2 linked regions of the Callithrix jacchus genome follow. The protein of the gene in region 2 interacts with the protein of the main gene of each other region in a pairwise test. Links are inferred from orthologs where the notes say so. Each region holds a gene or a part of one and is shown on either strand. Other genes may lie near its edges.

Region 1 (3,745 bases), on a different chromosome or scaffold from region 2:
TCAAACTCCTGAGCTCAGACAATCCACCTGCCTCAGCCTCTCAAAATGCTATGATTACAGTCATGAGCCACTGCGCCTGGCTGATTGTACAGCTTTTAAGGCAACGTAACAGGCTATAAAATATCAGAGGGGATTTCCCCTAGTATGGAGAGAGTTGTTTCACCCATTTGTGTGTGTGTGCACATGCACAAACACACACAGGTGAGAAAAAGAATGTGTGAGGGTGCCTAGTAAAATGTACTTATTGTCTGTCATAATTTTTTTTTTTTTTTTTTTTTGGAGACAGAGCCTCACTCTGTTGCCCAGGCTGGAGTGGCACTGATCACATATGGCTCACTGCAAGGCACATGCCACCATGCCCAGCTAATTCTTTTTTTTTTTTTTTTTTTTTGAGACAGAATCTTACTCTGTCACCCAGACTGAAGTGCAATGGCGCAATCTCGGCTCACTGCAGCCTCCACCTCCTGGGTTCCAGCGATTCTCCTGCCTCAGTCTCCCTGGTAGCTGGGATTACAGGCGCCTGCCGCCATGCCTGGGTTTTTTGTTTTTGTTTTTGAGACAGAGTCTTGCTCTGTCACCAGACTGGAGTGCAGTGGCACAATCTTGGCTCACTGAGCCTCTGCCTCTCGGGTTCCAGTGATTCTCCTGTTGTGGGTAGCTGAGATTACGGGGACACGCCACCACGCCAAGCTAATTTTTGGGTTTTGTTTGTTTGTTTGTTTGTTTGTTTTGAGACGGAGTTTCGCTCTTGTTACCCAGGCTGGAGTGCAATGGCGCGAACTCGGCTCACCGCAACCTCTACCTCTTGGGTTCAGGCAATTCTCCTGCCTCAGCCTCCCGAGTAGCTGGGATTACAGGTACGTGCCACCATGCCCAGCTAATTTTTTTATATTTTTAGTAGAGACAGGGTTTCACCATGTTGACCGGGATGGTCTCGACCTCTTTACCTCGTGATCCACCCGCCTCGGCCTCCCAAAGTGCTGGGATTACAGGCGTGAGCCACTGCGCCCGGCCCTAATTTTTGTATTTGTATTAAAGACAGGGTTTCATCGTGTTGGCCAAGCTGGTCTCAAACTCCTGGGCTCAAGCAATCCTCCCACCTTGGCCTCCCAAAGTCCTGAGGTTACAGGTGTGAGCAACAGCGCCCACCCCTGTAGCTCACAGTTGTACAAGTGTGTAAAGCACTGTTTTTGTTCGTTGTTGACATCTCTAGCTCTTCCTCCTGGTCTGTGGGTCTGAGTTATGCCACGAGTACAGCACTGGAAAATATTTTGGGAATCTGTGTTGGGAGACCCAGCGTGTGAGGCTGTAAATGTCCCATAGCTTCTGATAAATGTCTTCACGACCCAATAAATTTCTCCTTCTCTGTGGGTGGAGACCAAGCCCTATACCCTACAGGCCCCTTCCAGTTTCCCTTTAAGAGCCTGTGACGCAGATCCGTTCTTTCCCCGACAGGGAGCTGCCTCTGTACCGGGTCCTCCCCAGCAGAGATTTACCCAGCATCCCTCCTTTACCCCGCGCAGGGGCCACAGCCGGATCTCCCATTCTTCCCAGAGGAATGGGCCCCAGGGCGTGAGAGTGGGAGGAGGCCAAAGCCTCGGCGCGAGGGACACCAGACCCTTGCGGCCAGCGAAACGGAATGCAAGAGGCCCCACGCTGCAGTCGGAGGGGCAGGACTGGCCCCGGGTGGACCAGATCACCAAAGCCAAACTCTCCCATCTTCCTGCGGCAGCGCGGCCCCTGGCCTAGACCTCTGGGCACTCTACAGCCGGGTCCCATCTCCTCCCACTCTTCGGACCTCCGTGTTCCCAGGCCTCGCCAACCCTCGCGCCTTCTCTCTCCTGGCTCTCCAACCTCGCCCCCTGCCCCGCAGCCTCCAGAAGCCCCACCCACTTACCTGCCCCGCCCAATTCCCTCCCCTTGCCACCACCCCCGCCACCGCATCCCGCCCCGAGGTCCTGCTTCCCCACCCCGCCTCCTGCCCCCCTTTTCTCGGCCCCACCTGCGGGCCCTCCCACGTCCTAACGGGCTCCCGCCCGCCGCCCTGCCTGGGACCTCGCCCGGCCCGCGGGGCTGGGTTTCCGCGGCAGGTGCACTTAGCGCGGCCAGGCCTCCGCCCACCTGGTCCCGCAGGTCCTGGATGGTCTTGTAGTAGTGGCTGTAGTCGCGGGAGGGCCCGGGCCCCTGCTTCTGGTACCAGTCGCGGATCTTCACCTCCAGCTCGCCGTTGGCCGCCTCCAGGGCGCGCACCTTGTCCAGGTAGGAGGCCAGGCGGTCGTTGAGGTTCTGCATGGTGAGCTTCTCGTTGCCCGCCAGCAGCCCGTCGGAAGTAGCCAGGATGCCGCCATAGCCGCCGCCGTAGCCCCCCGAGGAGGACGAGGACACGAAGCGAGTGGAGGACACGGACACGCCGCGGCCGCCGGAGCCCCCGTGTATGCTAGGTGCGCGAAAGGCGACACCCGGCCCAAAACGCACGGAGCCGCCGCCCAGGCCCCCGAAGGACGACGTGGACGACTGGCGATAGCTGTAGGAAGTCATGGCGAGGCGGAGCACGGACCGAGCGACCCTGGTCCCAGAGGCTGTGATCACCGGAGGCGCGGCGAGGCCCTCACCGGGCGCCTTTTATGCCGGGGGCCAGGAAGTGGGGCGGGGAATGGGGGGAAGGGAAGAATGGTGTTAGGGGTGGATATCTGAGCCCTGAGGAATTTGCAGGCTCCTGAGAGCAAATACGGGCGCTCTACCCATTGGTCAATTCCTGGCGGCTCTGCCCGCAACCCTCTCCTCCCAGAGACCAGAGGCCCCTGCCATCCAGAGCTGCCCCACCCCAATCCTCGCAGAAGCTCCCACCCACACTCAACCACTCCAGTTCTGCAGACCCTCTTCCAGGCTTTCCCCCAACAGGGACGTACTTAGACACCCACGTTCTGACCCTCACCCTTTAAGAGCACCCAGAGTTTGACACCCATTGGGAATTACGGTCCCTCTGGGGTCATATTCCTACACACCCTGGCACAGTGATTTTGGTTTGGTTTGGGTTTTTTTGTTTGTTTGTTTTTTGGAGACGGAGTCTCTGTCCCCCAGGCAGGAGTGCAGTGGTGTGACCTCAGCACACTGCAGCCTCCGCCTACCCGATTCAAGCAATTCTTATGCCTCAGCCTCTGAAGTAGCTGGGATTACAGGCACCCACCACCATGCCCTGCTAATTTTCGTATTTTTAGTAGAGATGTCATTTCACCATGTTGACCAGGGTGGTCTTGAACTCCTGGCCTCAAGTGATCCACCGGCCTCAGCCCCCCAAAGTACTGGGATTACAGGTGTGAGCTACCACACCCAACCCCAATGATTAACCATTCAGAATGCTCCCTCCAGAATACTGTTAGGAGCCCCTTGCTTGCGATCCTAACCAGCCCACCCTCCACAAAGTGTGTTCACAGATTCCCGCACTCCACTGGAAAGTACCACCCGCTTTTTGGGAACACCCATGTCCAACTCCCCTTTAGTCCCCTTTGGCAAAGGCCCACCGTTTCCGGATGAGGGCACTTTGAGCTGCAGGAACCCAGCCCTCCCAAGACAAAGCTGCCTCACCCTGCTGTGACTATTCAGTGCCCCAAGGTGACAATAGGCTCCCGAGAACAGCTGCAGGGAGCGGTTCTGGCAGCCTGCACCTTTGCAACACCAAGCTCAAGCCTGACTATCACATGGGGGCTAACCCCCATTCTGGAACTCTCAAAGCCCACTCGTTCCT
Region 2 (3,745 bases):
GTGGAAAAATTATGTGAAATTCACATTTCAGTGTATCCGTAACTAAAATTTTATTGCAATACAGCCCATCCATGCCCATTCACTACAGCTGTTTTGGAACTGTATCACATATCACAGAGTTGAGTAGTCTGACAGAGACCCCCATCGACCCCCGCACCAGTGGACTAAAATATTTGCTAGCTAGACCTTTAGAGAAAAGCATGGAGAAAAATGAAGTAGGGAAGTGAGACAGAGAGTGAAGGGGAACAGTAGGTCTGCCATTTTCCATAAGTGCTCATGTCAGATCTCATTAAAAGGTGACATCCGAGCGAGCCCTTTCTGAAGGGTGTCACCTAACCCCAAGGGGCTGCAGCTCTTACCGAAGTAGTCGAGCCAGTTCATCTCGCGCAGCGCCTTGGGGAGTCGCAGGATCTCGATGTTGTACAGGTTATCCACCTCCTTGAGGAGGTTCTGCCTGTCTGACTCAATCTGCTTGATTCGTATTTCCACTGCGGGAGGGCAGAGCCGACGGGACACGGGTCACGGGGCGGGTGAATAGGTGCTGCTCGTGTCCCCACCCGCCAGCATCCCGCGACTGCCCCAGGAAGCCGCGACTGCCCGGCCCCTTCCTTACCTTCACGGTCGAAGTCTTTCAGAAAGGAGGCGAGCTTCCGCTTCCGTAAGGAGTTGGTTTTGGCCACCCGACTGCTGCCCTTCCTAGGAGCCATGGCGCTCGGCGGAGGCTGCGGGTAGCGGCAGAGATGGGGCAGGGAGGCAAGGAACCGGGTAGGCACGAGAAAGGCGGACAAATGCCACCCGAAGAAGTCGCCAGGCACGTACCTGCAGTCCCGAGACAAGGGCTGATCAAAACCTCCCGGTGCCTGTGAGAAAGCGGCTCTACCGCCAACCGCCACCCAATTCAAACTCCACGGCCACAGGCTGACGAATGAGAAGCCGCCGTCCCACAACATCCAATCACAAGCAAGTTCTTGCCGGCCCGGGGTCTCCAGCCCAATGCGCCCTCTACAGCCTGAGTACGTCAGCGCGGCCACCGCCGTCGCGAGTGCTCCTGGGAGTTGTGGTTCAAGATAGTTTCCCCGCCCTCTCCACGCCCACCCGGCTCCGCCCTGGCCAGCTGCAAACGATATTAACTACTATTCCCGGCAGGCCTTGCGACGGCACCTCGACACTGTAAGCTCTGGAGGGCTGAGGGCCGACCAGGACGACGGGGGCCCGCTTGGAAGCCGGGAATCCCAGCACTTTAGGAGGCTGCTTCTTTCTGGCCTGGTTGCAGCTGAGTAGCCGAGGGCCGCCGTGACCCACTGATTGACTGACTACTGACTGGCTGTCTGTCTACCTCTGCGCTCCTCAGGGCCCCAAGCACCCCAGGCCGAACTTCGGAAAAGTGGAGGGAACTTCGGGCAAGTGGAGGGTCGGCGGAGACACAGCAGCCCCACTCAGCAGTGTTTGGAAGGGGGCGGGGGGTGCAGGCTTTGGGGTGGGCGCGCCAGCCCGGCCAGTCTGGGCAGCGAGTGGGGGGAACCCTCTCGTTCCTCGGTCGCCCGCGGGCTGGACCCTCCTGCCCAGTTAACATCTCGGCGCCTCGACTGGGTGCGGAGTGCGGGGTCGCGACTTCAGGTGCAGTAGTGGCGCTTGGCAGCTGGCTGTCCGGTGACTGCAGTAGGAGCCGCGGCCGCTAGACTCCAGGGAGCCCAAGGCAGGAGGCAGCCCTGGGTGTCGAGGCCGTGGGCCTGGGAATGGACGTGTAGACGGCGAGCCCGGCCGAGCCGCGGTACAGTCGGAGGTGCTAACTGTGTATCTTGGCATCTGTCCACAGCCACAGGGTTGGATTGATCGGGGGTTGTGCTGAGGCCCAGCAAGGCTAGAGGCTAGTCTTGAAGTCTCCAGGGATCAGAGCGATAGCTCAGGCTGAGTCTCAAGGCGGGTGGCAGCCGGACAGCCAGACTGGTGAGCTCTTGATGGGTTTGTGGTATGATTGGATTTGGTGCTTTTCACCTGTGGATGCGGTCTGAAGCCATGTCAGAGGGGTTGTGTTTGTGTTTAAGTGTGCATTTTATAGACTGTAGGGGTGATAATCTTCCCTCTCCCCCTCTGAGTTCAGGAACAATCGAGGAAATAAGCAAAGGTGCCAAGCAGGCTCCTGATAGGCACCAGCGAGCTTGGAGACACAGCAGGTGGAACATAGGAGCCCTGGCAAGCCTGGCCCTTCCTCTTGCCAGGGAGAGTCCTTTCTCTCCCTTCCAGCCTGTCCTGTTGCTCCATATGCAACAAGTATTTGAATGTCACTCTTCCGCCCGAGGTCAGCCCTGGGCAGTGGGTGATGGGGGTGACACTCCAGTCTGCTGGGTGCCTGAGAATCTTCATCAGGCAGATGGCCAAGATGAGAGGGGATGACAACCGGTACCTCATGCAGGCTCCCCCCAGCAGGTGTTTTTATGCTGGGCAAGTCTGGCTTCCAGCCTCTTGGTTTCAGCGCTTCTCTCACTCCACTCCCCAATGCGCCCGACTTCCCTGGGCACCTAGGACATCACCCTGCATCTTAGCTAGAGCTGCCACGTCAGGAGCCCCTGATTCACTAGTTTTTGCCAGTTGGCTGTGCCACAAACATTGTGAAATGTGTCATTAAGACATAGCCGGAGGCGCAAGCTTAGAGGAAGTGACTCTTAGCTAATAGGATGTGGTAACACCGCCACTAATTTAAACTGCTGCAGGCTGACAAATGAGAAGTTGCCGTGTTGGGACGGCTGCAACATCCCAAGGAAACTTCAAGCCAAGTGGCCAATCCACATGTGGGACTACAGTACCCAGAAGTCATTGTGGCAACACGATATATTTTCGCGACGCAGTAGCCCTGCAGGCTAGAGGAGCTTTGGGAGATGTTCGTGTTTGAGCACATGCAGACAGACTACGGGTGCGTGTGCAGGTCTGGAGTGTTCTCACACTTTGGCTGTCTCTGCTGGTTTCAGGAAGGCAACCGGCAGCCTCGGGCAGGGGAGACTGGCCTCTGGGTTAGAGAATAGACGGCGCTTGGATGCTGGGAATCCTCTGAAGTAGGAGAGTGCCCTATCCAGGTAACCCTTCCCGAGGGAAAGCCAGGATCTCCTTCACAAAGCTGAGGCAGGGCCTGACGCGGTGGCTCAATCCTGTAATCCCAGCACTTTGGGAGGCCGAGGCGGGCGGTTCAGGAGTTCAAGACCAGTCTGGCCACCATGGCGAAATCTCGTCTCTACTAAAAATACAAAAATTAGCTGGGCATGGTGGCAGGCACCTGTATTTATTTATTTGTTTGTTTGTTTGTTTATTTATTTATTTTGAGATGGAGTTTCGCTCGTTACCCAGGCTGGAGTGCAATGGCGCGATCTCGGCTCACTGCAACCTCCGCCTCCTGGGTTCAGGCAATTCTCCTGCCTCAGCCTCCCAAGTAGCTAGGATTACAGGCACGTACCACCATGCCCAGCTAATTTTTTTTTTTTTTTTTTTTTTGTATCTTTAGTAGAGACAGGGTTTCACCATTTTGACCAGGATGGTCTTGATCGGTTGACCTCGTGATCCACCCGCCTCGGCCTCCCAAAGTGCTGGGATTACAGGCGTGAGCTACTGTGCCCGGCCGGCAGGCACCTGTAATCCCAGCTACTCTGAAGGCTGAGGCAGGAGAATCGCTTGAACTTGGAAGGTGGAGGTTGCAGTGAGCCGAGATCGTGCCACTGCACTCCAGCCTGGGAGATGGAGTGAGACTCCATCTAAA

What was found. The genes of interacting proteins can lie anywhere in the genome.
Region 1: the proteins of AIRIM (region 2) and keratin, type I cytoskeletal 19 interact in binary tests that used the Homo sapiens proteins (3 or more experiments, as listed by UniProt). The two-hybrid records come from large-scale screens. The link is inferred for Callithrix jacchus from reciprocal best matches to the Homo sapiens genes AIRIM and KRT19.

The regions. Positions count from the first base shown.
Region 1 is NC_133506.1:91,728,266-91,732,010, reverse strand, and holds the start of keratin, type I cytoskeletal 19, read right to left. Parts: upstream 2,599-3,745; 5' UTR 2,539-2,598; coding exon 2,122-2,538; intron 1-2,121. UniProt on the Homo sapiens protein: Involved in the organization of myofibers. Together with KRT8, helps to link the contractile apparatus to dystrophin at the costameres of striated muscle.
Region 2 is NC_133508.1:74,246,574-74,250,318, reverse strand, and holds the start of AIRIM (AFG2-interacting ribosome maturation factor), read left to right. Parts: upstream 1-1,144; 5' UTR 1,145-1,400; intron 1,401-1,816; exon of another isoform or gene 1,817-1,947; intron 1,948-2,860; exon of another isoform or gene 2,861-2,966; 5' UTR 2,967-3,071; exon of another isoform or gene 3,072-3,188; intron 3,189-3,493; 5' UTR 3,494-3,745. Other genes in the region: CDCA8 (borealin), read right to left, coding at 360-488, 614-707. UniProt on the Homo sapiens protein: Part of the 55LCC heterohexameric ATPase complex which is chromatin-associated and promotes replisome proteostasis to maintain replication fork progression and genome stability.